Linked DNA regions of Macaca mulatta. The protein of the gene in region 3 purifies or fractionates together with the protein of the main gene of each other region. This does not show direct contact. Links are inferred from orthologs where the notes say so. Each region holds a gene or a part of one and is shown on either strand. Other genes may lie near its edges.

Evidence for each region.
Region 1: the proteins of MYCBP2 (region 3) and FBXO45 purify together in Homo sapiens (affinity purification with western blotting; 7 studies listed by BioGRID and IntAct, with this or other methods). This does not show direct contact. The link is inferred for Macaca mulatta from reciprocal best matches to the Homo sapiens genes MYCBP2 and FBXO45.
Region 2: the proteins of MYCBP2 (region 3) and FBXW7 purify together in Homo sapiens (affinity purification with mass spectrometry; 6 studies listed by BioGRID and IntAct, counting the BioPlex papers as one, with this or other methods). This does not show direct contact. The link is inferred for Macaca mulatta from reciprocal best matches to the Homo sapiens genes MYCBP2 and FBXW7.

The regions. Positions count from the first base shown.
Region 1 is NC_133407.1:2,108,775-2,118,949, reverse strand, and holds part of FBXO45 (F-box/SPRY domain-containing protein 1), read right to left. Parts: intron 5,976-10,175; coding exon 5,619-5,975; intron 1-5,618. UniProt on the Homo sapiens protein: Component of E3 ubiquitin ligase complex consisting of FBXO45, MYCBP2 and SKP1. Functions in substrate recognition but also plays an important role in assembly of the complex.
Region 2 is NC_133410.1:160,923,175-160,933,349, reverse strand, and holds part of FBXW7 (F-box/WD repeat-containing protein 7), read left to right. Parts: intron 1-998; coding exon 999-1,122; intron 1,123-2,820; coding exon 2,821-2,957; intron 2,958-3,902; coding exon 3,903-4,016; intron 4,017-5,283; coding exon 5,284-5,465; intron 5,466-7,323; coding exon 7,324-7,549; intron 7,550-9,132; coding exon 9,133-9,343; intron 9,344-10,175. UniProt on the Homo sapiens protein: Substrate recognition component of a SCF (SKP1-CUL1-F-box protein) E3 ubiquitin-protein ligase complex which mediates the ubiquitination and subsequent proteasomal degradation of target proteins.
Region 3 is NC_133422.1:71,889,169-71,899,343, reverse strand, and holds part of MYCBP2 (E3 ubiquitin-protein ligase MYCBP2), read left to right. Parts: intron 1-4,686; coding exon 4,687-6,330; intron 6,331-7,206; coding exon 7,207-7,376; intron 7,377-7,978; coding exon 7,979-8,223; intron 8,224-10,175. UniProt on the Homo sapiens protein: Atypical E3 ubiquitin-protein ligase which specifically mediates ubiquitination of threonine and serine residues on target proteins, instead of ubiquitinating lysine residues.

The DNA.
Region 1 (10,175 bases), on a different chromosome or scaffold from region 3:
AAAAGTTTTGGGTATAGATAGAGGTGATGGTTACACAACATGTGAATGTATTTAATGCCACTGAATTGTATACTTACAAATAGTTAAAATAATAAATATGCATATTTCACCACAATTTTAAGAATCACCATAGTAAGACACATAGCTTTTATTTTATTTTATTTTTTTTATTTTGAGACAGAGTCTCACTGTCTCCCAGGCTAGAGTGCAGTGGCGTGATCTCAGCTCACTGCAAGCTCCACCTCCCGGGTTCACGCCATTCTCCTGCCTCAGCCTCCTGAGTAGCTGGGACTACAGGTGCCTGCTACCTCACCCAGCTGATTTTTTCTATTTTTAGTAGAGACAGGGTTTCACTGCATTAGCCAGAGTGGTCTCGATCTCCTGACCTCATGATCCGCCCGCCTCAGCCTCCCAAAGTGCTGGGATTACAGGCATGAGCCACCATGCCCGGCCTGACACAGCTTTTAAAGTTTACAGAGCAGTTCCACATATAATGTGGAATCATGAATAATCCAATCTGGCTACAAATTCTAACACAGAATATAGAATAGGCTTATTAAATAGTCAATTTGTGGTTCACAACTCTGAAACACCTGTTATAAAAAACAGCAGCACTGATTATTAAACGAAACTGGAAGCAGAATATATCCAGATTTTTCTCATTTGGAAAAGTAAGCAAAAAAAAAAAAAAAAGGATGTTTCATCTTTATGGTCTGCATTTATAAAAGGATGTTGCATCTACAAAATTGGAAAGAGAAAGTCCTAATGTTTGCAATCAAAATTTAATTCTTCCTGATTATGATAACCCCTGCTATTGTCATTTACTTTCCTTCACTGTGTTTCCTGTTAACAGTAACTGCCAACATCTGCTTTTTTCCTCCCTTTGCCCACCTCACAGATTAACCCATTTTATGGATCTAAGAACCTCCAAATCATCATCACCACCACCACCACTCATACCAACAAAATATTAACAACAAAGTAGAAATGAAAAGCTAATTCTGTTGGGTATTTGTTTTGTGTCTTATTTGTATTATCCCATTTAATCCTCACACTAATCCTAGGAATTTTTATCCCTATTTTACAGAAGTTGAAACTAAGTAACAATTACTCCTGGTGAAATCTGCAAATTTGCTTCATCTTTGAGCATACGGCATGCACAAAGCACAGGGTGGAGAAAGCAGAAGCCTTACCATCTTTAGGTGTCAGGGGGTAAAACTTGGGAGACAGCAGAGCAACTGGAAACTTAGAGGAGGAACTCCAGAAGCAACAGAACCACAGAAAGGATGAACCCCAAAATCTGAGAATTAACTGCCCAAATCCCTGAATGACCACTATATTACAAAGGCACAGGGTCAACCTCCAGGACTGAGAAAGCAGCAAAGCTGAAAACACTGAGCAGACGTTAGCTGCTGTACATCACAAGAAACAGAGTTTATAGTTTGAGTAGAGGCAAGTTAACTGCCTACTAAAACAAGAAAACCTATACTTTTTAGAATAAAGCAGTTTCTAGAAACAAAACATTCAGGAGTTACTACTACGTATTATCTACACATCTAGGTTTCAATGAAAAAATTACTAGATATGAAAAGAAACAGGAAAGTGTGATTCATATTTAGGGGAAAAAAGAGCAATCAATAGAAGCTGAACCCAAGTGGGCCTAAGTGTTCGATTTGGCAAAGACTTCAAAGCAGCTATTATAAATATGTCCAAATAATTTTTAAAAAATATAATATAAACAAACAAGGAATCTCAATAGAGAAAAGGAAATTTGCTCTAAAAAAGAACCAGGCCGGGTGCAGTGGCTCACACCTGTAATCCCAGCACTTTCACTTTGGGAGGCCGAGGCGGGCGGATCACGAGGTCAAGAGATCGAGACCATCCTGGCCAACATGGTGAAATCCCGTCTCTACTAAAAATACAAAAATTAGCTGGGCATGGTGGCACGTGCCTGTAGTCCCAGCTACTCAGGTGGCTGAGGCAGAAGAATCGCTTGAACCCGGGAGTCGGCGGTTGCAGTGAGCCCAGATTGCGCCACTACACTCCAGTCTGGCACCAGAGCGAGACTCTGTCTCAAAAAAAAAAAAAAAAGAAAAAGAAAAAAAAAAAATTCTAAAGCTGAAGTGTACAATAAGCAAAATTTACTAGCCCGGCTCAATAGCAGAGGTGAGATGGCAAAAGAAAAAAATTTATAACCTTGAATACAGAACAACACAAATTATCTAATTTAGGTCAAGCACTGTGGTTCACACCTGTAATCTCAGCACTTTGGGAGGCTGAGGCAGGCAGCTGCTTGAGCTCAAGAGTTTGAGACCAGCCTGGGCAAAATGGCAAAACCCTGTCTCTACAAAAAATACAAATATTAGCCGGGCATTGGTGGGGAGCAACTGTAGTCCCAGCTACTCTGGAGGCTGAAGTGGGAGGATCGCTTGAGCCCGGGAGGCAGGTTTCAGTGAGCCAAGATCATCGCACCACTGCACCACTCCAGCTGGGGCGTCAGGGCAAGACCGTATCTCAAAAAAAAAAAAAAAAGAAAGGAAAGAAAAGAAATTATCTAATGCAAAGATTAGAGAGAAACAAGGTTGGGGAAAAAAAAACAACACACAGCTTCAGAGGCAGAGATAAGGACAACATCAAGCAGTCCAACACTTACATTAAAGGTAAATGAACTAAACACTTAAAAGTCAGAGACCGAAGCTGGGTGAGGTGGCTCACGCCTGTAATCCCAGCACTTTGGGAGGTCGAGGCAGGTGGATCACTTGAGGTTGGGAGTTCGAGACCAGCCTGACCAACATGGAGAAACCCCGTCTCACTGGGCATGGTGGTTCACGCTTGTAATCTCATGACTTTGGGAGGCTGAGGTGGGCGGATCACGAGGTCAGAAGTTCGAGACCAGTCTGGCCAACATGGTGAAACCCTGTCTCTACTAAAAATACAAAAATTAGCTGGGTGAGGTGGCGCATGCCTGTAATCCCAGCTACCCAGGAGGCTGAGGCAGGAGAACTGCTTGAACCGGGACCCGGGAGGCGGAGGTTGCGGTGAGCCGAGATCATGCCATTGCACTCCAGCCTGGGCAACAAGAGTGAAACTCCATCTCAAAAAAAAAAGTCAGAGACAGAGACTGGGTTAGATAAAAATCAAGATCCAACAATATGCTGTGTAGGAGCTCCACTTTAAATACAAAGACAGACTGACAGAGGATTACTAGAGTCAAAGGAGGTCATTTCATAATAAAAGAATAAATCAGGCAGGGAGATATAACAATTAGAAATGTATATGCACCAGTAGTAACAGAGCTCCAAAATACATGAAGCAAACACTGACAGAACTAAAAGAGGAAAGAGACAAATTGGTAAGCATAGATGGAGATTTCAATACTCCTTTCAGTAATGATAGAAGGGGTAAAAAAAAATCAGTAACACTATATAAGACTTAAATATTATCAATCGACTTCACCTAATTCTCATTTACAAAATATTCCATTCAACAAAAGAATATACATTTTTTCAAGCACACATGGGACACTCATCAAGAAAGACCACATATTAGAATAAAACAAATCTCAATAAATTTAAAAGGACTGAAACCATAAGCATGTTCTCTGAAAAACATAGACTTAAGTAAGGGCTTTCACTTACAAAATCATCACAAGGGTAAGTGATAGGACTTTCTTTTTAGTGATAAAGTCTACACACCCTTCTCCTTATAGTATCTGCAGAGCCTAAAAGGATAGTGAGGAAACATTCTATGAAAAAAAAATCCTTCCAGCTTTTATACCTCAGGAAATAGGATGTAGTTTTGGTTCTTTGGTTCAGTATGCCTGACTTGAGGTCATTACCGAGGCTGGAACTTTCACGCCACATGTGGCTCTGAAATATGCAGCCTATAGTTCTTTAAAGACTTCCAATTTCTTATCAGATTATTATATATTACACCCTGCTGGGTCTATAGTAATAAATATGGCTTTTACAAATAGGACTATAATTTTAACTTGAGTCAAATGAGTATGCCTTAAGCCTAAGATGAAAAGAATAAAAAATACAGCAGTTTGCCTGAATCTGCCTGTCTCTACAGAAATCACTGATGCCTCCAGGGGCTCTGAATCCGCAGGCGGAGGGTATGGTGCATGTGCATCCACAGAGATGTACTTACTGGGGTAAGGAGCCTAGAAAAAGATGTGGAAGTGCCATGATATAGGAAAGATGACCATCTAGAGCAGGGGTATTCAATCTTTTGGCTTCCCTGGACCACAACGGAAGAATTGTTTTGGACCACACATAAAATATACTAACACTAAAGACAGCAATCACCTTTAAAAACAAAAAATTGCAAAAAACTCTCACAATGTTTTAAGAAAGTTTATGAATTTGCATTGGGTGGCAATCAAAGCCATCGTGGCTACCTGCAGGCTGTGGGGTGGACAAGCTTGATACAGAGCATGAACTGGCAAACTACGGCCCCTGGACCCAATCTGTCCCGCAGCCCACAAACAAGGTCTGTGGAATACGGCCACGTTCATTCGTTTACGTATTATCGATGACTGCTTTTGTACTATAGAGTTGCAAGTTGTGACAGATCCTTACCTTGAAAATGACATTAAAAAAAAAAAGTTGTGACAGAGACCATACGGACTGCAAAGCTTAAAATATTACTGCCTGGCCGTTACCAAAAGGTTTGCCAACCCCTGATCTGGAGCAAAGATAGGCTGCTTAAACTTGTATTAGGAAACACATATTGAGAAAGATCATTTACATATTTATTTAAAAACTGTCAAAAAATCTCCTTGAGGCCGGGCGTGGTGGCTCACGCCTGTAATTCCAGCACTTTGGGAGGCCAAGGCGGGTGAATCACGAGGTCAGGAGTTCAAGACCAGCCTGGCCAAGATGGTTAAACCCCATCTCTATGAAAAATACAAAAATTAGCTGGGCATGGTGGCAGGTGCCTGTAATCTCAACTACTCGGGAGGCTGAGGCAGAGAATTGCTTGAACCTGGGAGGCGGAGGTTGCAGTGAGCTGAGGTCACACCACTGCACTGCAGCCTGGGTGACAGAGCGAGATTCTTAAAAAAAAAAAAAAAGGCCGGGCGCGGTGGCTCAAGCCTGTAATCCCAGCACTTTGGGAGGCCGAGGCGGGTGGATCACGAGGTCAGGAGATCAAGACCATCCTGGCTAACATGGTGAAACCCCGTCTCTACTAAAAATACAAAAAACTAGCCGGGCGTGGTGGCGGGCGCCTGTAGTCCCAGCTACTCGGAGGCTGAGGCAGGAGAATGGCGTGAACCTGGGAGGCGGAGCTTGCAGTGAGCCGAGATCGCGCCACTGCACTCCAGCCTGGGTGACACAGCGCGAGACTCCGTCTCAAAAAAAAAAAAAAAAAAAAGAATATTTTCCTGCATAGCCAAAATCAAAATATAACACCCAACAAAATTAACTATAACCTCCTAACATTTAAAAAAAAAAAAAAAAAAAAAACTTGAAGTCTTGGTATTTGAAAAAATAAAAAATAATAAAAATTACCAAAAAGACAAAACAAAACTGCTATACGAAAATTTGTAAATTTAAAACAAATTAAAGCATGATTTGACAAAGGCCCATACTTGAGAAAAACCCGTTTCTCACCTGATATTTTGGTGCATTGTTGCACTGTGGAAAACTGCCATTGACTTCTCCATTATGTAGTAGATTATTGTCCACCAGATTCCAGCCCCAGCTCTGGTCATCACTGCCCAGCAATGCCACATAACCTTGGCACTGCATGGGGGCCCGTTTCGTGGCAATTCCAATCACTGCCACAGTGCCCAGAGGGCCCTCCCACCACACCTCCCATGCATGGCGGCCCTCACTGAAACCAATCTTGGTCCTTGCACCATCAGTGCTCTGAGCAATGGGGTTTCGATGTAAAGTAAAGCCATTCTTCTTAATGTAGACATTCCTGGAGCAGTCATTAGTGCTGAAGGCATGTTGAAAAGCACGTATCTAAAAAGATGAAAAATAGACCAAATAAATAACGTTATTTTTCTTAAATATTAAAAACTTCAGGATGTATGTTTTTAAATAATGAACTTATATATTTTAAAAAACACAAGTATTTCCAAATAATGGCTAAAGTTTCAGGATGGGATACTAACAGAATAAATAACATTAAAAGTAACTGCCAAACGTTTCATCACTGACCAAAATTTTAAATTGTAGTATTTCCTCAAACAGACTTCTTAAAACATCAAAAGATACCAAAAAAAAAAAAAAAAAAAAAAACCTTATATCTTAGAGATAATACTGAAACGTTTATGGATAAAATAATGATATCTGGGGGAATTGCTTTGAAATATCCAGAGATAGAGTGGGAAAGTGTGCAATATAAATATGAAACTAGACTGGCCATAAATTAATCATTGGCAAAGCTTGGTGATACGTATAAGGAAGTTCATCAAACTATTTTCTCTACTTTTGTTTATATTTGATATTTTTATATCAAAAAGTTGAGACATAGTTTTCATATGGGCAATGCTGTCATCAAAAATAATTATATTTTACATAAAATAGAAACTTTAATCATAGCAACTCTAAAGTTTATGAAAAATTTTAGTAAACACAAACTACTTTAGATCCTCAGCCTGCTTGCCAGGTATGACTTACACAATAAACAAAAAATCACCAATCTCATTTTACCAAATCAAATAATCCCCTAGATAGCATCTAGATTCAAGTAACTAGAATTTATAAAGAGAAGCTATCAATAAGACAACTTAGTTGACTCTTCAGCAAAAACAAAAGTTTACACTTCCAAAATAAAGAGGGTATGAAAATAGCTCTTTCATACAAACAATAACAATTTCTCATGAACAATTTTAAACTTTTAGTTTGTGTATTTTAAATTTTTTTTAGACAAGGTCGCTGTCACCCAGACTGGGAGTGCAGTGGTACAATCGTAGCACACTGCAGCCTTGAACTCCTGGGCTCGAGTGATCTCCCATCTCAGCCTCCCAAGTAGCTGGGGTTACGGGTTCGAGTCACTACGCCTGCCTGGTTTGTATGTTTTTTAAAAATCCCTTCTTTACTTTAGCCAAACTACCCAAAAGCAGTGAAAGGCTGGGACCTATGCTTTGGTGAACCTGAGAAATCAACTCCAGAGTCACAGAAGCTCAGCATTCAGGAAGACCCTTAAAGGCCACCTAGTCCTTCTCAAGGATCTCAACGCGGGTGAGTGCGAGAGGCCCAAAGAGAGGCCAAGTATCCAGCTCCCTCACCACCTGTTCATTTGCCACTCGCTGGCACTCTACTGTTTCGCTGTACTGCAGGGCACAGATTTTAAAAAGGACTGTTTCCAATATCCCCTGCATTCATAAGGAGGCTACAAAACTGAAGCATTCCCAATGTTTTTCCTATCTGCTCATATTATAAAATACTTGAAGGCACTTATAAGACCAAAACATAAGATTCAGTGAAGGGGCTGGGCGCGGTGGCTCACCCCTGCAATCCCAGCACTTTGGGAAGGCAAGGTGGGCAGATCGCTTGAACTTGGAGTTCAAGACCAGCCTGGGCAATGCGGCGAAACTCCAACTCCAGTAAAAATACAAAAAATTAGCTGGGCATGGTGGTGCACGCTTGTAATCCCAGCTACTTGGGAGGCTGAGGCAGAAGCAATGCTTGAGCCCAGGAGGCAGAGGATGCAGTGAGCTGAAATTGCACCACTGCACTCCAGCCTGGGTGACAGAGCAAGACCCTGTCTCAAAAAAAAAAAAAAAAAAAAGAAAGAAAAGGAGATAAAGGAGATTAAATGGGGGAAGGAACATGTCCCCAAAATAGCAAATACTATCTAAATAACTCAAGAGAGTAATATCAATAATTCACCATAAAATAATTAATATTTCCCTATGCCTATTCCCCAATTCTTATAAATTCCAATTGCACACTGACACTATTGACAGCCTCTTCCTCAAACTTTTTTTTTTTTTTTTTTTTTTTGAGACAGAGTCTCGCTCTGTCACCTAGTCTGGAGTGCAGTGGCTCAATCTCAGCTCACTGCAACCTCTGCCTCCTGGGTTCAAGCGATTCTCCTGTCTCAGCCTCCCCCAAGTAAATGGGATTACAGACGTGGACCACCACACCTGGCTAATTTTTGAATTTTTAGTAGAGACAGGGTTTCTCCATGTTGGCCAGGGTGGTCTCAAACTCCTGGCCTCAGGTAAACCGCCTGCCTCAGCCTCCCCAAGTGCTGGGATTACAGGCGTGAGTCACCACACCCAGCCCTCTCTTCCTCGAACTTCTATGACATCTTCCTATTTCCCTGGACTGATCCTGTATCACTTCCTTTTTTGGTAACCACCCCTCCTCCACCATCACCAAATTCTCCAAACTCGGTTCTCAACTCTCTATCTGAATTATTTCCAGACCTGTCTTTCTAAAACAGCACCTTTACTACATCTCTTCCCAGTTCTATAACCTTTGGTAGTTCCATACTTGGTACCATTACCAACTGCAAATTCTTCTGTCTGGCTTTCAAAGCCCTCCAAATCTGATTCTTCCTATTTCCCTTTCTACCTTGATGATGATGTTCTTGCTTACAGTATTATAAGTGTTTTCTTCTCCCACACATTCTCTAAGACCCCCTCTCTATTAAGCTACTTTTTTTTTTTGAGACGGAGTCTCTCGCTTTGTCGCCCAAGCTGGAGTGCAGTGGCGCGATCTCGGCTCACTGCAAGCTCCGCCTCCCGGGTTCACACCATTCTCCTGCCTCAGCCTCCAGAGTAGCTGGGACTACAGGTGCCCACCACCACGCCCGGTTAATTTTTCCTATTTTTAGTAGAGATGGGGTTTCCCTGTGTCAGCCAGGATAGTCTCGATCTCCTGACCTCGTGATTCACCCACCTTGGCCTCCCAAAGTGCTGGGATTACAGGCATGAGCCACGGAGCCCGGCCTACTAAGCTATTCTTAACCAGGGCCACCCAATTCCCTTTGTTTCTCCCTCTGCTGAGTGCTTACCCACGACTTTCTGTACTGCGTCACAATTTAGTAGCTCTTATTTTCTAACACATCTTTAACCACTAATTCTAGTAAAAAATAACTTGCAAAAAAATCTAATCTAATCTAAATTGATCAGACCTCTATGGGAAACAGAGGACAGTAGAACATGTCAAGCAACACCACGATAATGAAATCAGCAAAATCGAGCTGAGAGTAAACAACCTGGTTTCCTCAACAAATAAGATGGGAGGTTGGGGAGATGGTGAGTGAATATGTAGACTAAAACAGCCTTAAGAGACACACCAACCTTTGCCATGGGACCCTTATATAGATCTTGATTATATAAAACATAAGTTTAAAATGCAACTTTTTTTTTTTTTTTGAAACGGAGTCTCGCTCTGTCGCCCAGGCTGGAGTGCAGTGGCGGGATCTCAGCTCACTGCAAGCTCAGCCTCCCAGGTTTACGCCATTCTCCTGCCTCAGTCTCCCAAGTAGCTGGGACTACAGGCGCCCGCCACCTTGCCCGGCTAGGTTTTTGTATTTTTTAGTAGAGACGGGGTTTCACCGTGTTCACCAGGATGGTCTCCATCTCCTGACCTCGTGATCCGCCCGTCTCGGCCTCCCAAAGTGCTGGGATTACAGGCTTGAGCCACCGTGCCCAGCCTAAAATGCAACATTTAACATTTATGAGACAACTGGCAATTTGAACACTGAATTTTTGATATTAAGGAATTAATGTAAATTTATATTTAGATGTGATAAGCATACTGTGATTACATTGTCTTTGTTTTTTAGAAACAGATACTGGAAACTTCATACGAAATGGGAAAACAGGCCAGGCATGGTGGCTCACACCTGTAATCCCAGCACTTTGGGAGGCCGAGGCGGGCGGATCACGAGGTCAGGAGATCGAGACCATCCTGGCTAACACGGTGAAACCCCGTTTGTACTAAAAAAAAATACAAAAAACTAGCCGGGCGAGGTGGTGGGTGCCTGTAGTCCCAGCTACTCGGGAGGCTGAGGCAGGAGAATGGCGTGAACCCGGGAGGTGGAGCTTGCAGTGAGCTGAGATCCGACCACTGCACTCCAGCCTGGGCGGCAGAGCGAGACTCTGTCTCAAAAAAAAAAAAAAAAAAAAGAGAGATCGAGACTGTCCTGGCCAACATGGTGAAACCCCGTCTCTACTAAAAATACCAAAATCAGCTGGACGT
Region 2 (10,175 bases), on a different chromosome or scaffold from region 3:
TCATTGGGAAAGCATAATTTATATTATATAATTTATATTTAGCATCAAAAATAATTAAAATTGTGCTTTTACTCCCTATATGACCCTTGACCCTTTAATGGATAATTTGTTTTAGTTCTTGTCATTTAGTTCTTGTGAAAACTGAACTTAATTGCTCTATTTAAATGGTTTTCCTTGTATCATAATTTAAAATTTTATGTGATATGTGAGGCTATTTGAATAAACAGAGGCTATAATTCCCCTTTTTTTCTCTTTATTTTTCCTCTTTATTTGAACTGACACACTGAAAAAAATTAATAGTTTACAAGTATTATAAACAAAATTTTTTAATCAGTGGTATACCAAAGAGTTAGCTCAAATATACAACTCTGTGTGGCCCATCAAGAAGATCCTTATAAGTAATGTAAAGTAATTAGAACTCAATTACTTTTATATGTCTATGGAATGGTTTAATAATTGTCCCCCTTTGTCATTTACAGTCAAGGATGTAAGTGTTTCAAAAGTTCATTATGATAATAAACACTTTGATTTGAAGACTGTTAATTATGATATATATCAATCAGAAATGATCTGAAGTCATGCCACACAGAATATATAAAAATTATTTCTTGTCTGTCAGGCAAGCATTTAGGTCCTATCTTCAGTGAATTTACATTGTAGTAGGATAGAGAACAAAGTTAAACAACTAATAACATTTTTTTAAAAAAGAATTATTAAGTTGAGGCTCACAGAGCAAGGCAAGAGCAGAGACAGAGAGCTTTAATCAGTAGTCCCTGAAGAGGTAAAGAGTAGAGTGAAGTTCATAAAAACCATAAGGTGTGTGTGTGTTTTTTATCTGGTATATATTTGTTAGGACTGAAGTTACTGCCTTTCATAATTTTAAAAATCAGAGTGCAGAATTATATTTATCAAGTATCTCATCCTGTGGAGAATAATTAACTTATATAATATATATATTTATTTAAATATGGGTATTATACTATGCATTTTTTTCTTAGTTGGCACTCTATGTGCTTTCATTCCTGGAACCCAAAGACCTGCTACAAGCGGCTCAGACATGTCGCTATTGGAGAATTTTGGCTGAAGACAACCTTCTCTGGAGAGAGAAATGCAAAGAAGAGGGTAAGGTTCAAAATTGCACAGAGAATATGTTTATACTTTGAAAAGCAGAGTGATTCTGAAAACAAGTAGAAAAAATAAAAATAATATTCACCTACTTATAATAAAATCCACAGATTATTCTACACATTGAAATGAGCCAAATCTTACAGCTAACCCCTTTAACAAGCAATATAACTAATAGCAAATATATCTGATTTGCTTCCTATCACTAGTAGAATTAATAAACAATGAAAAAGTCAAGATGTGGATGATTTAAAGGAAACCCCAAAATTACATTTCCAATTAAATATCCAAATATTTAGTATTAATTAATTCTTTTCATAAATGTTTATTGAACACCTCCTATGAGCCAGACATTTCTTCAAGGTGGGGGATATAGCAGTGAACTGAAGTTCTCTTTCTGTCATGGAGCTTATGTTCTTGAAACCTATTTTTTTCCTTAGTAGAGGAATAGTTATCCTTTGTATTGGGAGAGCTGTTTTGTTGTTTTTATTGTTGTTTTCCCCAGCAGACATCCAGAAAAATATTTTTGAAAAAATATAAAAGTATTATGTGCCTCAGAAGCAAACTTTTTTTAGAAAGAATCATAGAGCATGATGCAGGTACTCTATAGGTGATCATTCCGTTCATGGTGGTTATAGTCAAGTGGGAAGCATTGATGGTTAGTCCAGTTAATAAAGGTTTGAGGTAAAGATCCAGGGTACTTGGTTTCTCATCCTGCTTTTCACCTCTGTAGGACTTGGATTAATCAGTGAAATCTTCCTTCTTAAGTATCTGTATACATAAAGTGGGATTAATCTCTGCCTTCCCTTCTCCCATATAATCATTTTTTTAATGATCTTTTAAAAATTGTAATAACATATATGTAGTTTATCAATTTAACCATTTTTATATGTACATTTCAGTGGCATTAAGTACATTCACGTTGTTCTGCAACTATCACTATCATCTGTGTTCAGAACTTCATCTTCCTCACATGAAACTCCATGCCCCCTGTTATAACTCCCCATTATTCCTCTCCACAGCCTCTGGCAACCACCCTTTTACTTTCTGTCTCTATGAGTTTGACTACTCTAGCTACCTCATATAAGTGAAATCATACAATATTTTTCCTTTTGTAATCAGCTTATTTCACTTAGTGTAATGTCTTCAAGGTTCATCCATGTCATAGCATGTGTCAGAATTTCCTTTATTCCATTGTGTATATGTATCTAATGCTACATTTTGTTTATCCATCTGTCGATGGGCCCTTGGATTGCTTGCACCTTTTAGTTATTATGAGTCATCCTGCTATGAACATAGGTGTACAGATAACTGTTTAAGGCTCTGCCTTTAATTGTTTTGCTTATGTATCCAGAAATGGAATTGCTAGATCATATGTTAATTCTGTGTTTGTTTTGGGGAACCACCAGACTATTTTCCACAGCAGCTGCACCATTTGCACAAGCATTCCAATTTCCTCACATCTTCACCAGCATCTTTTAGAATCATTTTGAGAAATGAAATAGTGAATACAAAAATATGCCATATAAAGTGCAAACTTTACATTATTGCTATATACTGTGATAACAGTATTAGAAATTGGACAATGTCTTACATTTCAGTGGTTTCGAGCAGAGAGAAAGATGGAATACTTTATAAAATGTATAATTGTTATTGTTGGTGAAGGCAATTTACTCTTGACCTCTAACACTTCAGGGATTGATGAACCGTTGCACATCAAGAGAAGAAAAGTAATAAAACCAGGTTTCATACACAGTCCATGGAAAAGTGCATACATCAGACAGCACAGAATTGATACTAACTGGAGGCGAGGAGAACTCAAATCTCCTAAGGTAACTGAACTCTGCACAGTGTAACAGAAACCATTAATCAGTGTTAGTACCTAGTGTACTATTTCACTTCTTGGCAAACTATAATTTGACACTTCTCTTCTGTGGAAAGAAAACCATATATTTTAAAATAACTGAAAGTATTACTGACAGTATTCTTTTATTGCTAATTAATCTGACAACTAATTGTGCTTGAACAAAAGATAAGTTAAATTGAGTATCTTTTTATCTTACTTAAATGAAAATCTCTCAATATCCTGTTGAATTGTACTGTGTCATACACATTCTACCTGAGAATTTGCTGCCTTCTCTGATCACATAGTCCAAACATGATTTTTTGAGGAGTGTCTGTGTTTTGGTATTGGTGGCTTTCGTGTGTCTTATTTTTATAAATTGAAGCATAATTCTGGTTTTCTGTATTAAAACGTTTCAAATATATAAAGAATGTTAAGAACACTTTAAATTATTGAGCATATTTTTACAACTGGAAAAAAACAGTTTGGGGAGACATTGTGATACTAATATGTATATGTTATAGATTTTTTTGTTTTGAGAATGCTAATAATTGTTACTCTTTGTGGTTAATAGATGCGTATTTTGTTCTTGTGTGTCAAAGTTGTAAAAATTAGAGGCATATTCTGGTTTGAACAGATAAAATAGATTATTGTCAAATACATTGGTGTTCGAACCATCTTCATGAGGTCTTGATGCAGTAAAACTTTAATAGTTGATGTTTTGAGTATAAATAATAGACTATGGAAACAATAAAATGTTTAATTCTGAATTCGTCAGCCAGGAAAAATAATGCTTTATATTTTATATAAATTATAATTCTAGAGATAGACTACAAATTACCGTTCCTGTTTGTGCCTTCATTTTTCTCTTCACCAGTGTTTTAAAGAACATAATTTAATTAACATATTTCTAATCTGTACATCTATCTTATAGGTGCTGAAAGGACATGATGATCATGTGATCACATGCTTACAGTTTTGTGGTAACCGAATAGTTAGTGGTTCTGATGACAACACTCTAAAAGTTTGGTCAGCAGTCACGGGCAAAGTAAGTTCACTCTTCCTACACTTCACAAAGTCACAATTTTGTGTATAGCATTGCAAGTAGCAACTGGAAAAAAGAAAATCAGAATTCATTCTTGATTCTCAATTATTGGGATAGCAAATATCAGAGCTCGTAACTTAGCTTTTTCCCCCATATTTATGAAAATCAATGGCATGAGGATAATGATGTTTCTCATGATAGAGGTTTCATTAATTTTTTTTCATTTACATAGTTTGTGACAGATATTTTAACATTTTCAAGGGTGCTTTATATTTTTCTTGGCTCAATTTTTCCCCACTTTTATTTACTGTCTAAGTTATACCTCATTACTTTGTAATGTTTTTCAAAAGTATGGTTGAGGGGTATTTATTTTTCCTTATGAACTGCTTTGTTGATAACCTACCTATAGTTTAGAACTTAATAAATCATGTTAATTTATACTTATCTCAAACCTTTGTGAGATGAGAGTGGACTAGGCATTTAAATGTAAGTTTGAAGAAAAAAGTAGCCCAAGCAATCAGCTTGACCGTGTACCATATCATACCTTAATGATTCTCTAGCAAATATTTATTTGTATCTGTCCAGTAGAGAATATTTTCATGAATTAAGTAATTGCCACCTCAAAAATAACAGAAGAGAGTCTGAAAACAAAAAAAAATCCATGTCTTTTAAAATGTCTTTTACCATGGTGCTTCTTGGCAAGTATCTTATAAATACGCCAAGTCAGATGTTAAAATTTTTTAAAGCAGCTTTATATTTCCATAGTGTAATATTAGTTTGGGATTTATTTCAGGGCCTTAATGTCTGTCTTTACTTGTCTAGAAGTAGCTTCACTGGCTCCTAAATACTGCCCTGGGGCAGATTCAGATGAAATGTGGTATGTAGCCACACCCAATACTGTTGGCATACTTTCATTGAATCTATTCCCATGGAAGAAACCCAGTTGCAATTTCAGTATTTTTTCATCAAAGAGACCAGAGCTATCATAATTGCTTTCATATCATGTTTCCTTTTTATTATATCATATTTTATATCATATGTTTGCTTTCTACATGTTCTTCAATTGCTTGTGCTTATATAAATTTATAATGCTTTGAATAAACAAAACTATAAATAGTGATGGGATCATTTTATACGGATGTGTAAAATAATATTTTCTGAAGAGCCAAACGAATAAATAACTTTACTCCAAATTTTAATGAGCTATTAAATTTTATTTAAATCACTTTTCCTTTCTACCCAAAAGTAATCATCTTAAGTGTTTTTCCAGTGTCTGAGAACATTAGTGGGACATACAGGTGGAGTATGGTCATCACAAATGAGAGACAACATCATCATTAGTGGATCTACCGATCGGACTCTCAAAGTGTGGAATGCAGAGACTGGAGAATGTATACACACCTTATATGGGCATACTTCCACAGTGCGTTGTATGCATCTTCATGAAAAAAGGTAAGGGAAAATCTTATCGTGGTTGGGACTTCTTCCTCTATTATTTGTGAATTTGGGCCCTTTCTGTATAGAGTTACTGAAATAGTGACAATGAGCTCTTAAATTACATTTAATTATTAGACTTCAGATGGTTCTATTCTAGGAAAGCCATAGTGTTTTGTCTTAAAATTGGGGATTGTCTGTAAGTTTCCTTTTTCATTTGCTAGTGTTGTCGGCTTCCTCTTTGAAGCTCTCTACTCTCTAATCCTTTTTATTGTTCTGTATCTTTGATGACTCATCATGTTCAAGCAGAAATCATTTTTTCTCTCTCTTTTTTTGATATTCTTACTTCTGCAAGTGGGACAAATTCAGGCTTCAAGCGTCTGAGCCTTTTTAAATTACCTACCCACCTTACACCCACCCTATCTCTTAAGTCGAGGCAAAAGCTGAGGCCTGTGAGTAATTTGTTCTCTCATTCTGAACTAGTGTCACAACTTTCTAACTTGGTCATCTTACATTTTATATGCTGACATACAGTCCTTTTATAATTATGATAGTGTCACTGCCCAGTTCTTAAGTCTTTGTGAGCCTACTGTTGACTAACGAATTAAGGAAGAAATCCTCAATCCAGTTTTCAAAATGGTGTCTGCCAAACTAGATTGCTTGACTTTTTCTTCTCAGTGCCTTTGCTGTTACTTTTATCTCCTCCTGTAAAGCCCTCCTATTAAAATCCTATCTTTCTATTATCTTCATCATACCCCTGTTAAACAAGTGTGATTTCTGCCTCATTTGTCAAAAAAGGTCTCTCTGAAAGGTCCTTACAGTGAATCAATGGCAGTCTTTACCTTTAATTCTGTCTATAGCATCTTCTTATATTAAGAACCATTACATTAAGCAGATTTCACACCAGATTTGTAATATGTTTTCATTGTGTTCCATTGTGTTCTGACTTAAATCTCAACCCTTTAATTTTCTAATTTTTCCAATATGGAAACTGTGATATTTCTTTTATCTCTTCAGAATGAATGACATAAGGATACCTGAGTTTTCAGCTTTGTTTTGTAATCCAAAAGTGATTACAGTATTTGCATGTTGCTCTGGTTTTCAGGAGAGTGTAGCGCTAATGTTGAACCACATGTTTAAGGGATAGCCATTGTTTTTAAAAATGTACATATCTTTAAAGATCCATATCAATATTTTTATAGCCTATTGCATACTTATAAATCTAATCATTAAAAGCATAAGCAGCCTGTGTTTGAGGACATGTCTAAAACTGGTTAATTTTTACTGGAATGTATAGTGTAAACACAAATCTGCAGCTGTTTAAATTCCAAATCCTGACTTGTTTTGTTGTATAACCTTTATTGAATTTTTTACCTAATCACAAGGGAATATATGCATCCATAATTGAAATTTTGGAAAATGGCAAAGAACATAAAGAAGAAAATTTAAATTCTTTAAACTACTACCACCTAGAGTTCTCCCATTAACATTTTATACACATGCCCACATTAACATTTTATTTCTAAAATCAAAATCTTATTGTATATATTTAGAGGCAGCTACTGCTGCTTTTAAAAAAAAATACAGTACAGTGGTTTTCAAACTCAGTCCCACAGAACCTCGAGGTGCTGGAACTAAGGTCCACAGGTCAGGGAACCAAGCATGAGGCATTCTAGGCTTCCCAACTTCCCATTCCCTTATTGTATGTTTATATACCAAGGTTTTACATAGGATTTCTTTTGACAAGAGTTGTTCCTGTGTAAGAAAAAGAAAGCTAAAAAACCTTGACTAAATCTATCATGTTTTCTCATATTATTAAAAATTCTAAACATGGGTTTTTTTGTTTTGTTTTGTTTTTCTGTTTTTCCCTCTGCAGAGTTGTTAGCGGTTCCCGAGATGCCACTCTTAGGGTTTGGGATATTGAGACAGGCCAGTGTTTACATGTTTTGATGGGTCATGTTGCAGCAGTCCGCTGTGTTCAATATGATGGCAGGAGGGTTGTTAGTGGAGCATATGATTTTATGGTAAAGGTGTGGGATCCAGAGACTGAAACCTGTCTACACACGTTGCAGGGGCATACTAATAGAGTCTATTCATTACAGGTAAGATCTCTTATCTCTCCCTTAAATGCTCTCCTGATGAATCATAAGGTTGTTTTACTCAGATAATCGCTGTCAAATTGCTGCTCCAGTACAATCCAAAAAAGATTAACCAGATTATTCTGCTGTTTTTATATAAATTTCAAAATTATTTAGATGCTTTCAATTTTCTGTGATCTATTTCTCCTCTAAATACAAATATTTGTCTTGTAACCTGACAATTTGGGACTCTAAGGTTTGCTATATTAATTAATGGTTAAATAGTCTCATAGGAGAGTAACCTGGATTTTAAGAAACTCCTTTGCAGAGGATTAATATGGCCCAAAGCTGACCCTTTGCTTTGATAGCTGAAAGTTGATGGACCATGTAATTGTGATTCCATCCCCATTCAAAGTGGAAATAGATCCTTTCTGCATAAAGCACTCTACTGTCCCAGGCCCACTGATTTGTAGTCATAAGGAAGTAAAGTTGACTAAACAGATTTTTTTTTTTTTTTGGTTTACATTTCAAGCCCATATCCTTGAAAACATTGCCATATTTTAAGATCATTGACTAGATGAATAGGAAGTTTAGAATATGAATCTTGTTTTGTTTCCAGAAAGGCAACATTTTCAATGTAAAAATATTTCCTACAGCCTATATAGTTTATTTATCAGTTATTGCCCATTAATGTTCAGCAAATTAGTACATAATCTTAGTACTGTCAATTCTGTTCTTAGGATATTTGTTTCTTTGTCGAAGGAATATTGTCCATGTCATGAAATATTGACAATATGATCAAGATGTTTGCTAAATTAGAAAAGGTGATGAATTTGGAGGAAGGGAAATTGGCTGCACCTGTTTGTGATATTCTCAGAAGCTTAATGAATATAATATTCTAATTTAAATAACCCCATTTGATTGAGAAAAGAGGTAGCCACATTATTATATAGAAATGATAGATTGTTGTTGACTTTTGGTGTAGCTGGGAAGCTGGAGAAGAGGTGGTATGTAGTTTGCTTTTGATAACAAAATGCCACCTCTTCTGATTCCAGATACAGTTATCTTTTGGCACATTTCCTAATTAGCATTAGGTTCTTATAAATGAAATTTTATTTTACACACGGTTTTTAATGGAACTTGCTTTTGAACATCACGAAAGTTATCTCTAGCCCTTTTCATGCCTTAAGTGCTGATAAGCACTCCGTTTATCATAAGCTGTGTCATTAGTCTTAGCTTCCTAGTGGGAAGGAAAACTCAAATAGCAATTCTCTCAGTCACCCATGATATATAGCTAGGTGGGGCCAGATGATTTGAAAATTAATATATTGTTCATTTTAGGTGCTTTGTTTTCATTTTAAGTTGCTTCTGCATCTAGTTTGAAGCAGCTTGGCATAAAGATGAACCTTTCTGATAGAAAGGTGTGAGAACATACATTGTAGAATGGCTTGGCGTGCACTTTATCCTCATTGCCACTTTACCTTAGTACCTCATTTTGTTCCTGGCATTACCCATTTCCCATCCTCTTCCCCCTTTCCTACTAGGATTAAGGTCAGTAATATGAAGAGCATCCGTACTTCTATTCTAATAAACTGTGTCTTTTGTAGTTTGATGGTATCCATGTGGTGAGTGGATCTCTTGATACATCAATTCGCGTTTGGGATGTGGAGACAGGGAATTGCATTCACACGTTAACAGGGCACCAGTCGTTAACAAGTGGAATGGAACTCAAAGACAATATTCTTGTCTCTGGGAATGCAGATTCTACAGTTAAAATCTGGGATATCAAAACAGGACAGTGTTTACAAACATTGCAAGGTAAGTATTAGTTACGTTTAGTTTTGTTCATTAAAAATGAGATCATTATTCAACGGAAATATGGAGCTTTAGCATTACAAAAAGAGTCAACCTCATACGGAATGATTACTTCAGAAAAGTTTATGCATATTTTCACCCTGACTTACAGAACTAGTCTACTCTTGAGGAAATGTTTTGAACTGTGTTTTTAATATATAATATAAAATTGTTTAATCACTTCCTGCATGTTCAGTTGACTCTACTTAACCTTTAAGAACAGTGAGAAGAAAGATCTTGGCTATATCATAGAAGCAACATACTCATTATGTTTTTTGATTGGCCATTGCATTTTGAATTTGTAGTCCAATTTTGAAGGGCTACCTTATTGAAAAAAACAAAAGCATCCTTGATAGAAAATTTATTTGGCCTCCTCTTAGTCACGTGCTTAACTGGAATGGAGAGGAATAATAGTGCCTACTAAAATAGAGAAAGAAACAAGTGAAAAATCACTAATATTAGATGAGGTACAGCAATGCCTCATGATTAACTTTTTCTATTTGTTATAGCCCTTAGAAAGCGTTTTTTTCTGGGGTGGGGGAGGGGGGGCGGCATCTGATAGGCAACATTGCAGCTTTTTACTCATTGGTTTTGTCTCTTCTCAGAGTTTTGGAATAGTGACCATTCAGCTTTGAGTGGTTCATAGTGGTGGAGTAATAGATCTCTTAGTGCTCATTTGTCCATCAGCAGTATGTATGGAGTTGCACTATCTGCATCCTCACCAAGGCATGCTGTCGTTCACACAGCCAGAAAATAAGACATTTGTCTGGTAGCTAACCAAGTGTCTTGGAAGACA
Region 3 (10,175 bases):
TGACAATAGGTTAAGCCATAAGTAATATAAGTAACATTTCTTTATCTTCCACTATTAAAAAAAAAACTTGTAAATCTTTATTTAAATGAGCACCAAATTAAAGAAAACCAAACAAATAAACGCAAGTCTAAAATGAAATGTTCAATTTTGATTTGTCAGAGATATGAGCCTTACTAAGTTTTAAGTTAACAGATTTGGACATTAACACATATTAATCTAAATTAATTAATTCAACCTTTGTTTTCAGTTTTAGAGAAATGTAAGCTTGTTGAAAAATTTAGCAGAATATAAACTATTTAAAATAACTGTTGATACTTGCATACCATTTGAAATGCTTTGTTTTTGCTTGTGTTCTCTGCTAAATTTTTTTTCCATTGAATCTGTGCTGCTTCTTTGCCAATGTTTTCCACTGTAGAATCTCCATCTTGCAACCTTGCTTCTCGTGAGCGCATTTACAAAAATTATGGTGTAGCTGGGCCTGCCTCTGCTCTCTCATCTCTGTCTCACAAACTGAAGGGTGGGTATACATGCATTCATGGATGGGCCATTCTTAATGAACATAGGGAGTGTCATTAAAGATGTTTCCGTTCATCTCAGTCATGTTCATGTCATTCCATTTTTTTAATTAAAGTTTATCATTTTATTTAAATTTGTATATGTTTGAGTAATTTATGATGCTCCTATTCAGTATTATAATGTAGATTGTCATAATAGCTATGCATGTTTATTACATCTATAGGTTAAACATTACTCTTATTTAATTTTAAAACTTTATGAGATCTTTAAAACAGGTATATAGAAAGAAAGAATTACCTAATGGGGGGAATTTTTAAAACCATTTTTATCAGAAAAAGATGATATATGTGCAAGGCATAAAGCACATTTTTTAGTCTTAAACTTGTTATGTAATATAAAAATCACTTTACTATTTTAGTTTTTTGTGAGAAACACTGATAATGAACTTAAAGTTTTTAAGTTTAAATTAGTTATTAGGACCCGTGTGTTTGTTTATATCTATATGTCAACCTACCTGTCCTGTCTAGCATAAATTTTTCTAATATTGTTTTCCTAGTAACTAAGTTTTAATATTTTAAGCTTAGAAATGTTTAAGCTGTTGACAATTGACAAAATTTCAGACAATTTAAAAATATGATTTTGGTCTTTTAAAACCCTACAGATGCCTACTTAAATATTTTGTCTTAAAGTATTATTTAATTAAATTTAAATCTTGTAAATATTTTAAAATCTTGTATTTAAAGAAAATTTTATCAAAAAGAACTTTTACAGCAATGCCTAACATATTGTGTGAGTTTCTCAACTACTGATTTTCTTTTTTTCTTAGAAATAGATAAAATAGGTATATATTTCTCATTATACAATTGACGGTATAAACATATAAATAGGAAATATAAAAATAGAGTAAATAGTATTGTACAACCTGTGCTATATAGTATACAGTATTGTGTGTAATAGCATATAGTATCATGTAACCGATATATACTATATATCATGCCATGTGATATATGCATGTAGTATTACGATATAGTACGATCCTGATAATTTATGATTTTGGCATGAAAAAATATGTGGGTAAGTGAATGAATACTTACCATTTAACATGTTTAGTAACATTTAATTTGCTTGCCCTAAGTTTCTATCCTGTCATTATTTCTTCAAGATTCCTTTAAAGTTAGAAAAATGTTTGCCTATTATCACTTAAATTTAAAAATACAGTCATTAAATAAATTAGGAGATGAATGTGAAAGTTTTATGTATAGTCTGAAGATTTTTAGCAAACTATTTGTTTATATTTGTTGATATTTTGAGCAGCCACAACATAATAATTTTAGTAATAATATGCTGCAAAACATTTGAAACACAAATGAAGAAGATAAACATAAATTAGCACTTGGGCTTACCCCACTTAACAAGCATAGTTTTTTTAATATATAAAATATATTTTGGAAAAATAAATTTTTCAAGAAGATTTAGTTATTGTTTGAGAAATACATCAGAGAAAGAAACGTTTCTGCCATTATTTATGTGCTTAAACTTCAACAGGTATTTAGCTGTCACCACTTACAGATCTTAAGAAAATATTCACCACTATTAGAGATATAATAAGATATACAGATGCCTATTCTTTCTAACACCATGTAATAAACTTTATTGCTCACGTATGACAAGGTGGTGTTCCTGATATTTGGCAGATTCCATTTTTCAGGCAACCACAGAGGTTGTTTTCATGATGAGTAAATACCTACCATCGTAAGTGCATGCATTCCTAGAATAGAGGTATCATCAGCAGGTGTTCACCATTCCTTTGCTTGCAGCTGTTGTGCAGGTCAGCCACTGGGACACATCTGACACAGGGAGTAGGTAATCTTTGTCACAAACCCTTCCCATTTGTTAGAAATCCTACACAAGTTGTCCTTTTTTATAAATTAGAGAGAAAACCTCTTTCAGTTCACAGACGGATTTTTTGGAGTAAGGGATACCAAATATAAAAGACTTACTAATTGTTTGTCTAGATTCCCAATATGTGTGGTTCAGTTTCTGAAATAAATGTAATGATAAAGGTGATAAACATGTCTCCAGCTGTCAGATTAATAACAAAAAACAAATACTCCAAACATCACATACTCAAAATTAATGGCCATGACTACTGATGTTTAATCTATGAAATATAATTTGTTTACCAAGTTTGCCGTATACTGTTACTAGGTCAGTAAGATTAGATGGGCAGCAATTTTTTAAACTACTTTTGAACAGTTTGAGGGTACTTATTTGTAGATCACCTCTGTTTATCTGTGTTCTCCCAAGACAGCATTGATAGTTAGAATTCTAAATTGGGATTTTTTAACCCTTTTTTCAAAATTTAGCCCCATCTGTTAATACTCTATTTATAAAACAGAGCATATAATATGATAAAGGAGGTTCATGATTGAATAATGAAGCTTTGCAAGAAACTAAAAAGCATTATGTTTTAGTTACTTTTTTTCATCCAAAGAACAGGAAAATTTATCCTAAATATTGGCATTTTGCAATTAAACATTTAGTTCATCAGTGTGCCCTATCTAAAGTACTTGCCATACTCTATTATTTCACCATGTAATTACTCAACATGCAAGCATCTAACCCTCACACATCAGTAACTACTGTCACCTCTGTCCTGTGGCCTTGGGAGCCTTAATTCTAAAAAGTAGACTTCTAGAGAAGCTGAATACTTGGGAGTAGCAGAAGAAAAAAAAAATCAAGAAAATTGGAATATATTACTCATTCAACAAATATTTATTGAATACCTACTGTATTCCTGGACTCATTCATAGTATTACATAAGTGAAGAGTAACAGACAAAAATACCTGCCCTTGACAAAAATGGGGGCAGATTCTCCAGCACTACTGTCCTGAGCCATAGAGAACTAGAGCGTGACTATACACACTTAACACATGCACACAAGCATAAAAAACATTTTTCTACATAATCTGAATTTGTTCACTTCCTTTTTTCTTTAAAAAAAAAAAAAAAAACCTGCCATTAGAACCAGTTAACAAATGCACCTTAATTTCCTAGGAACTCTCTTTGAAAAAATATGAATACTTCCAGATAGGTTTATGGATTTTCAGTTTCTTATACCACTTGAAACCCCTCAGTCAGATTGCTTTTCTCCTAACAACTAACTGGTATCACTTGCACTAAGAGTAGAAGTTTTTATTTTAAGGAGGAAAGGTGATGTTGAAGTTTGTACCGTTTACTTGGGTCACAGACAGCCTGGCTCTAATGCCTCAAAGAAAAGCATAAAATAGAATGAAGGAGAGACACTAAATGAAGCCAGGATGCTAAAAACAATTAATGTCCATGCAGAAATATCTAATGGTTTGCTTTAGAAAAGGGAGGTAATTCTTCTTTTCATCCTGTTTTTCTGTCATTCTCCTGACTCCTTGTTTTGAGGGTCCACAGTTCAGACTTTTACTACTCATTCTGAGGATCCACCATTTCTGTGGTTTCCAAGGGGACACAGCCTCTGAGTTCTAAGCAGCTAAGCTTACTGAACTTTTGGAGTGTAACCTGTTTATAAGTAATTAAATAATAGCTTTAGGGCATTCATGTGCTCATTATAAACTAGTCTAATCTGATCATAAAACAGAGTGCCTCTTTGGCAACTCTTTATTAGCCTAATCGTATTTATGCATACACTTAAAAATTATAATTGTGTCTATGCATAAATTCATTTCTCTAATTCAACAAAACCCATACCATTGCCCTAAGGATGCGACATATCACTCTGCTGGAAATTTAGCGCTACTTCACATTTAAAATACAAGTTTTAACATTAAATAATTTCTTATTCCCCAAAAAATTAATTTCTCTTTCTAGTCTCTCACTGAATTTAAATTCTAACTAGTTATTGCACTAGGGCAGAGGTTGAGATATCACTGATAGTTCACACTGAGTTTGTTCAGCCTGTTTTGCATCCATGAAAATAGTTTTTGGTGGTAATGGTTGTGTAATGATGTGTAGAAATTTTATTGGAAATATTTCCCCCAGAATTCTTCAAGTGTTTTAGTATGTGTGACAAACAATAAGAATTTCGTAGCAATGTTTTTTATTTCAGTGTTTAGTGGCTAAATCATTACTAAGTTATAATTTTATTAATAAGTTTCACTATAAAATGGACCATACAGGTGATCGAGGAAACATCTCAACATCTTCTAGACCAGCTTCTACATCAGGAAAATCAGAGCTGTCCTCTAAACACAGCAGATCACTTAAACCTGATGGACATATGAGCCGGACTACTGCTGATCAGAAGAAGCCAAGGGGCACAGACAGTTTATCAGCTAGTGAATCCCTCATCTTAAAATCTGATGCTGCAAAGTTGAGGTCAGATTCCCATAGTAGGTCATTGTCCCCTAACCATAACACCTTGCAGACATTGAAATCTGATGGGAGGATGCCTTCTAGCTCCAGAGCTGAATCCCCAGGACCAGGTTCTCGGTTGTCATCTCCTAAGCCAAAGACTCTCCCAGCCAACAGGTCTAGCCCATCAGGTGCTAGTTCTCCACGCTCCTCCTCACCACATGATAAAAATCTACCTCAAAAAAGTACTGCTCCTGTTAAGACAAAACTTGATCCTCCTCGGGAACGTTCCAAATCAGACTCTTACACACTTGATCCAGATACCCTCCGCAAGAAGAAAATGCCCCTCACAGAACCTTTGAGGGGACGGTCAACATCACCAAAACCAAAATCAGTACCAAAGGATTCTACAGATTCCCCAGGATCTGAAAATAGAGCTCCCTCTCCCCATGTGGTACAGGAAAACCTCCACAGTGAGGTGGTCGAAGTCTGCACCTCAAGTACTTTAAAAACAAATAGTCTAACAGACAGCACCTGCGACGACAGCAGTGAATTTAAGAGTGTGGATGAAGGTTCAAATAAAGTTCATTTTAGCATTGGAAAAGCACCACTGAAAGATGAACAGGAAATGAGAGCATCCCCCAAAATAAGTCGAAAATGTGCTAATAGACACACCAGGCCCAAAAAAGAAAAATCGAGTTTTCTTTTCAAAGGAGATGGATCCAAGCCTTTAGAGCCAGCCAAGCAAGCCATGTCTCCTTCTGTGGCCGAATGTGCCAGAGCTGTGTTTGCTTCCTTCCTCTGGCATGAAGGCATAGTACATGATGCAATGGCTTGTTCTTCTTTCCTAAAGTTTCATCCTGAACTTTCCAAAGAACATGCTCCTATAAGGAGTAGTTTAAATAGCCAACAGCCTACAGAGGAAAAAGAAACCAAGTTAAAAAATAGACATTCGTTGGAAATATCATCTGCACTGAATATGTTTAATATTGCACCCCATGGACCAGATATATCTAAGATGGGTAGCATCAACAAAAACAAGGTATTATCTATGCTTAAGGAACCACCTCTGCATGAAAAATGCGAGGATGGGAAAACTGAGACCACTTTTGAAATGTCCATGCATCACACAATGAAGTCTAAATCTCCTCTTCCCTTAACTTTACAACATTTAGTGGCTTTTTGGGAAGACATCTCTTTGGCTACTATCAAAGCTGCTTCCCAGAATATGATTTTTCCAAGTCCTGGTTCCTGTGCAGTTCTTAAAAAGAAAGAGTGTGAGAAAGAGAATAAGAAGGCCAAAAAGGAAAAAAAGAAAAAAGAAAAGGCAGAAGTGAGGCCCAGGGGTAATTTGTTTGGAGAGATGGCCCAGCTGGCGGTAGGAGGACCAGAGAAAGATACCATCTGTGAACTGTGTGGGGAGTCACATCCGTACCCAGTGACCTATCACATGAGACAAGCTCACCCAGGTAAATGATACTGGCGAATGTATGTATAAGTACTTCTTTCTTTACTGAACCGGATCACTTCATTTGAGCTGTTATATGAATTTTGGCAAAGGATAGGGAATTTATAGTATCTTAAAGTACATTATCAGTACAGGGTTTTGCAAAAAACAGATAAAGAAATTCTAATATTATGATGACAAGGTCATTTAGTGCTATTTCACTTTCATGTAGCATGTTTTAAAAAAATTTATGTGTTACCCAAAGGGTGTGCCATTAATGTGTCTGTCTCACACAACAGAATCAGTGGCGTGCCCATACACATGGGGCATCTCCTTTGATTTTACTATTTTCCTGTTCAGAATTGCAAATTAAATTAGATTATATTGATTTCGATAGGCTTTTTCCTATGGAAGTGATACTGTTTTATCAGAAGACTGCATTTTCAGTAAATGTAATGATTTCTGTAACATTGACTAATATTCCAAATTCACCTAATACAAATTTGTATTTGTAATTTTTTTCTTTGTCTACATATTATACTTCAAATGTTTTATGTGACTTCTGAAAATATATCATTGTTATAGAACTTTTTTACTTGTTTTGTCTAATTTTATTGACATAATTAAGTATATCTAAATGTACCTATAGTCTACCTCTCTTTTAATCTGCCTGAATAGAAACTAAGTATCTCTCATATTTGGGGTATCGTTTAATTAATTGCTTTTTGATCAAGTAAGCTATTTTTCTGATATAGTTAATAGCCTGAAAAATCAGATATCTATTTCAGTATTTTGCTTTCTTTGAGAAGGTAAATCTGTCGTTAATCTATGAGTAATAAGGATCAAACTATTAAGGACACTTGGAGTGTTAAATATTTATTTTTGGTATTGTTTCAAGGTTGTGGCCGATATGCTGGTGGACAAGGTTACAATAGCATTGGGCATTTTTGTGGAGGATGGGCTGGTAACTGTGGTGATGGTGGCATAGGAGGAAGCACTTGGTATCTGGTATGTGATCGCTGTAGAGAAAAATACCTCCGTGAAAAACAAGCTGCTGCAAGGGAGAAGGTATTTTATTCCATTCGGAGCTATAGTTTTAATGATATGGATACACTTTATAAAAATAGCTTTTTATGATCTTATTACATCAGATAATTCCGCATAGTTGATATAAAAGATCAGCTTTTACAATGGAAATCATATACAAATTTAATATTTGTACTACGTCAGCTGCTTTTAATTTTAAAAATTAACTATATATTGGAATAACACTAGATAACCTCTGCTACCTGTTTTTTTGGCTCCTTTGTTTTCCTATTCCATAGCTACTCTCTCTTTTCCTTATTCACTCTAGTGGCTAACCTAACTAAAAAATTTCACTGAATACACACAGATGATTTACTTTTTAAAAAAATGAATTATATTTAGATTTAACTAGTTAGGTGTTAAATTTTTCTGAAGAAAGAAAGGAAGTATAGTTTGTGTTTAATACAGAATAGTCAGCCCAGGATGAATATGAAGTGAATGTTGTTTTTTTATAATCTTAGTATTTTAAAATAGCTTTACAAGTGTTTAATAATTTTTATTGGAAACTCAAAATACTTAGCTTAAGGAACGAAATATTTTAATATAAGTCAGAAAAGATTACTTTGATTTTTTTTCTTTGCCAGGTCAAACAATCTAGGAGAAAACCAATGCAAGTCAAGACCCCTCGTGCCTTGCCCACCATGGAAGCTCACCAGGTGATTAAAGCCAATGCACTCTTCCTGCTCTCCCTGAGCAGTGCAGCCGAACCGAGCATTCTGTGTTACCATCCTGCAAAGCCATTCCAATCTCAGTTGCCCAGCGTGAAAGAAGGCATTTCTGAGGATCTTCCTGTGAAAATGCCTTGTCTCTACCTTCAGACATTAGCTAGGTAATAAAATTTTGTTGTTGTTTTTTAATCACCTTTGGATTAACAGTGATTGTTTATTGATATCTAGGGTAGTTCAGTATTTGACCTATACTTTATTAGATACTATGTACTGTAAAGAAACTTCCAGGCATTTATTTTTTTGAGTTGCCTTGACTAACATAATGACTTTATGGTAGTAGGTATTTAAAAAACTATAAAAATGCTTCATCAATTTACATTGTTACTAATACAAAACATGTCTTAGAAAATAAGACTATAGCTATCTTTCACTCTTTGGTAGGCTGACTTCAGTCTGTTAGTGTGAAATGCTGAAGTAGAAAAAAGTTGGTGTTTTCTTAGCAGTCTTTTATGTCATAAATTATTCATTGTTAGCATTTAAATGAATACTAACTGGGCACCTGCCAGCCTTGTGCTAGGCCCTGAATGAATGAATGAATGAATATAACAAAATCCTGGCTTCTATGTACTCATACTGTGATGTCAAGTCAGACATGTCAGTGAAACATTTGAAATGCCATGTGAGGAGTGCTACAATAGAAGTATGTATGTAGGATGCTGTTACAGCATAAAAGATGGAGAGTATCTGAATCTTCCCAAGGAAATCAGAAAAGGCTTCCCAGAGGGTCTGACCCTTTAGTGGAGTCTTAAAGGATAAATAGAAACCTGTCAGGCAAGTGATGGGAAGAAAGCAACGCCTGGAAGAATAACCCAGGTGAGTAAAGACACAAATGAAATCTCATTACACATTTGAGGAATCACAGGTTGTTAAAGGACTGACTACTGGAGGAAATGTGTGAAAGCCCGTTCAGAATGATTGGTTCACCCAAGTAACGTCGGGCCCTGTAGCCCAGGTTAAGATTGCATTTTATCCCATGAGCAGAGGAAACAGTGGAAAAATTTTAAACAGAGAAATACATGAATTGGTTTGCAATTAAAAGATCACTGTAGAATGTGGAAGCTAATGTGGAGACTAGATAAAAGTGCATTACTAGAGATAGAGAGAAACCTGTTAGTATTCTATTTTCATATATTGGACCTGAATGGTGCAGCCTATACTTTCACACATCATGCACTGACACTCCAAAAGAGCCTTTCATATACCAAAATCAGATTTTTTTCATCAGCTGACAAATGAAGATGTCTAGATATTGCCTGCTGACATGGCTTGCCAACCAACAGTTCCATTTTGGAAATTGTCCTCTTTGTGTGGCAGAGTTGTGTGATTTTTTTAAATTTTGTGCTTACTATTACAATAAAATGAATAAGCAACAAAAATGAAAACGTGAGACTAAATACATTTGAGACGGAGGTGGAAATCATCAGGTATGCCAAATACAGTAGATCTTTAGTGTGAAGCATACCACTCAGTGGACTTAGGTTAGCAACTATTTATTCATTTTGAAAAGGAAAGAATCAAATTGTAAAACGTGAAAAATGCTCACACAGCATTATTACAGACTTTTTTTCTTTTTAGCTCTCTGGGGAATGGGCACCCCCTCCACCCTGAACCACAGAAAATTTCATATATCTAATATTTTTCAAATATGATCTTATGTATGTTCCTACCCAAAAAAGTAACTGCCTGTATTTCAGTGGTCTGTGCAAGAAATAATAAGCACGAACCAAGGCAGTGGTGATAGGGAATGAGAAGAGAGAATGGCTCTGAGAGGAAACCTAATATCATGGGCTTGAAAGATGATGATGGTAGAGGGCTAAGCCTACTACAACACTGGAAATATTTTAGCTTAAGCACCTGGATGGTTGGTGGGATCATTCACCAAAACACTGGAAGATGGAAAAGCTCTCAAAAGGAAAGAAACTTAGTTCACTTTTGGATTTGAAATGTTTGTGGTACCTGAAATGTTGATGAATAACATTATCAGACTTTTATTTTCACCTACCTACATCTACAATTATTTTAATACTTTGCCTTTAACTGTGATTTACGTGTG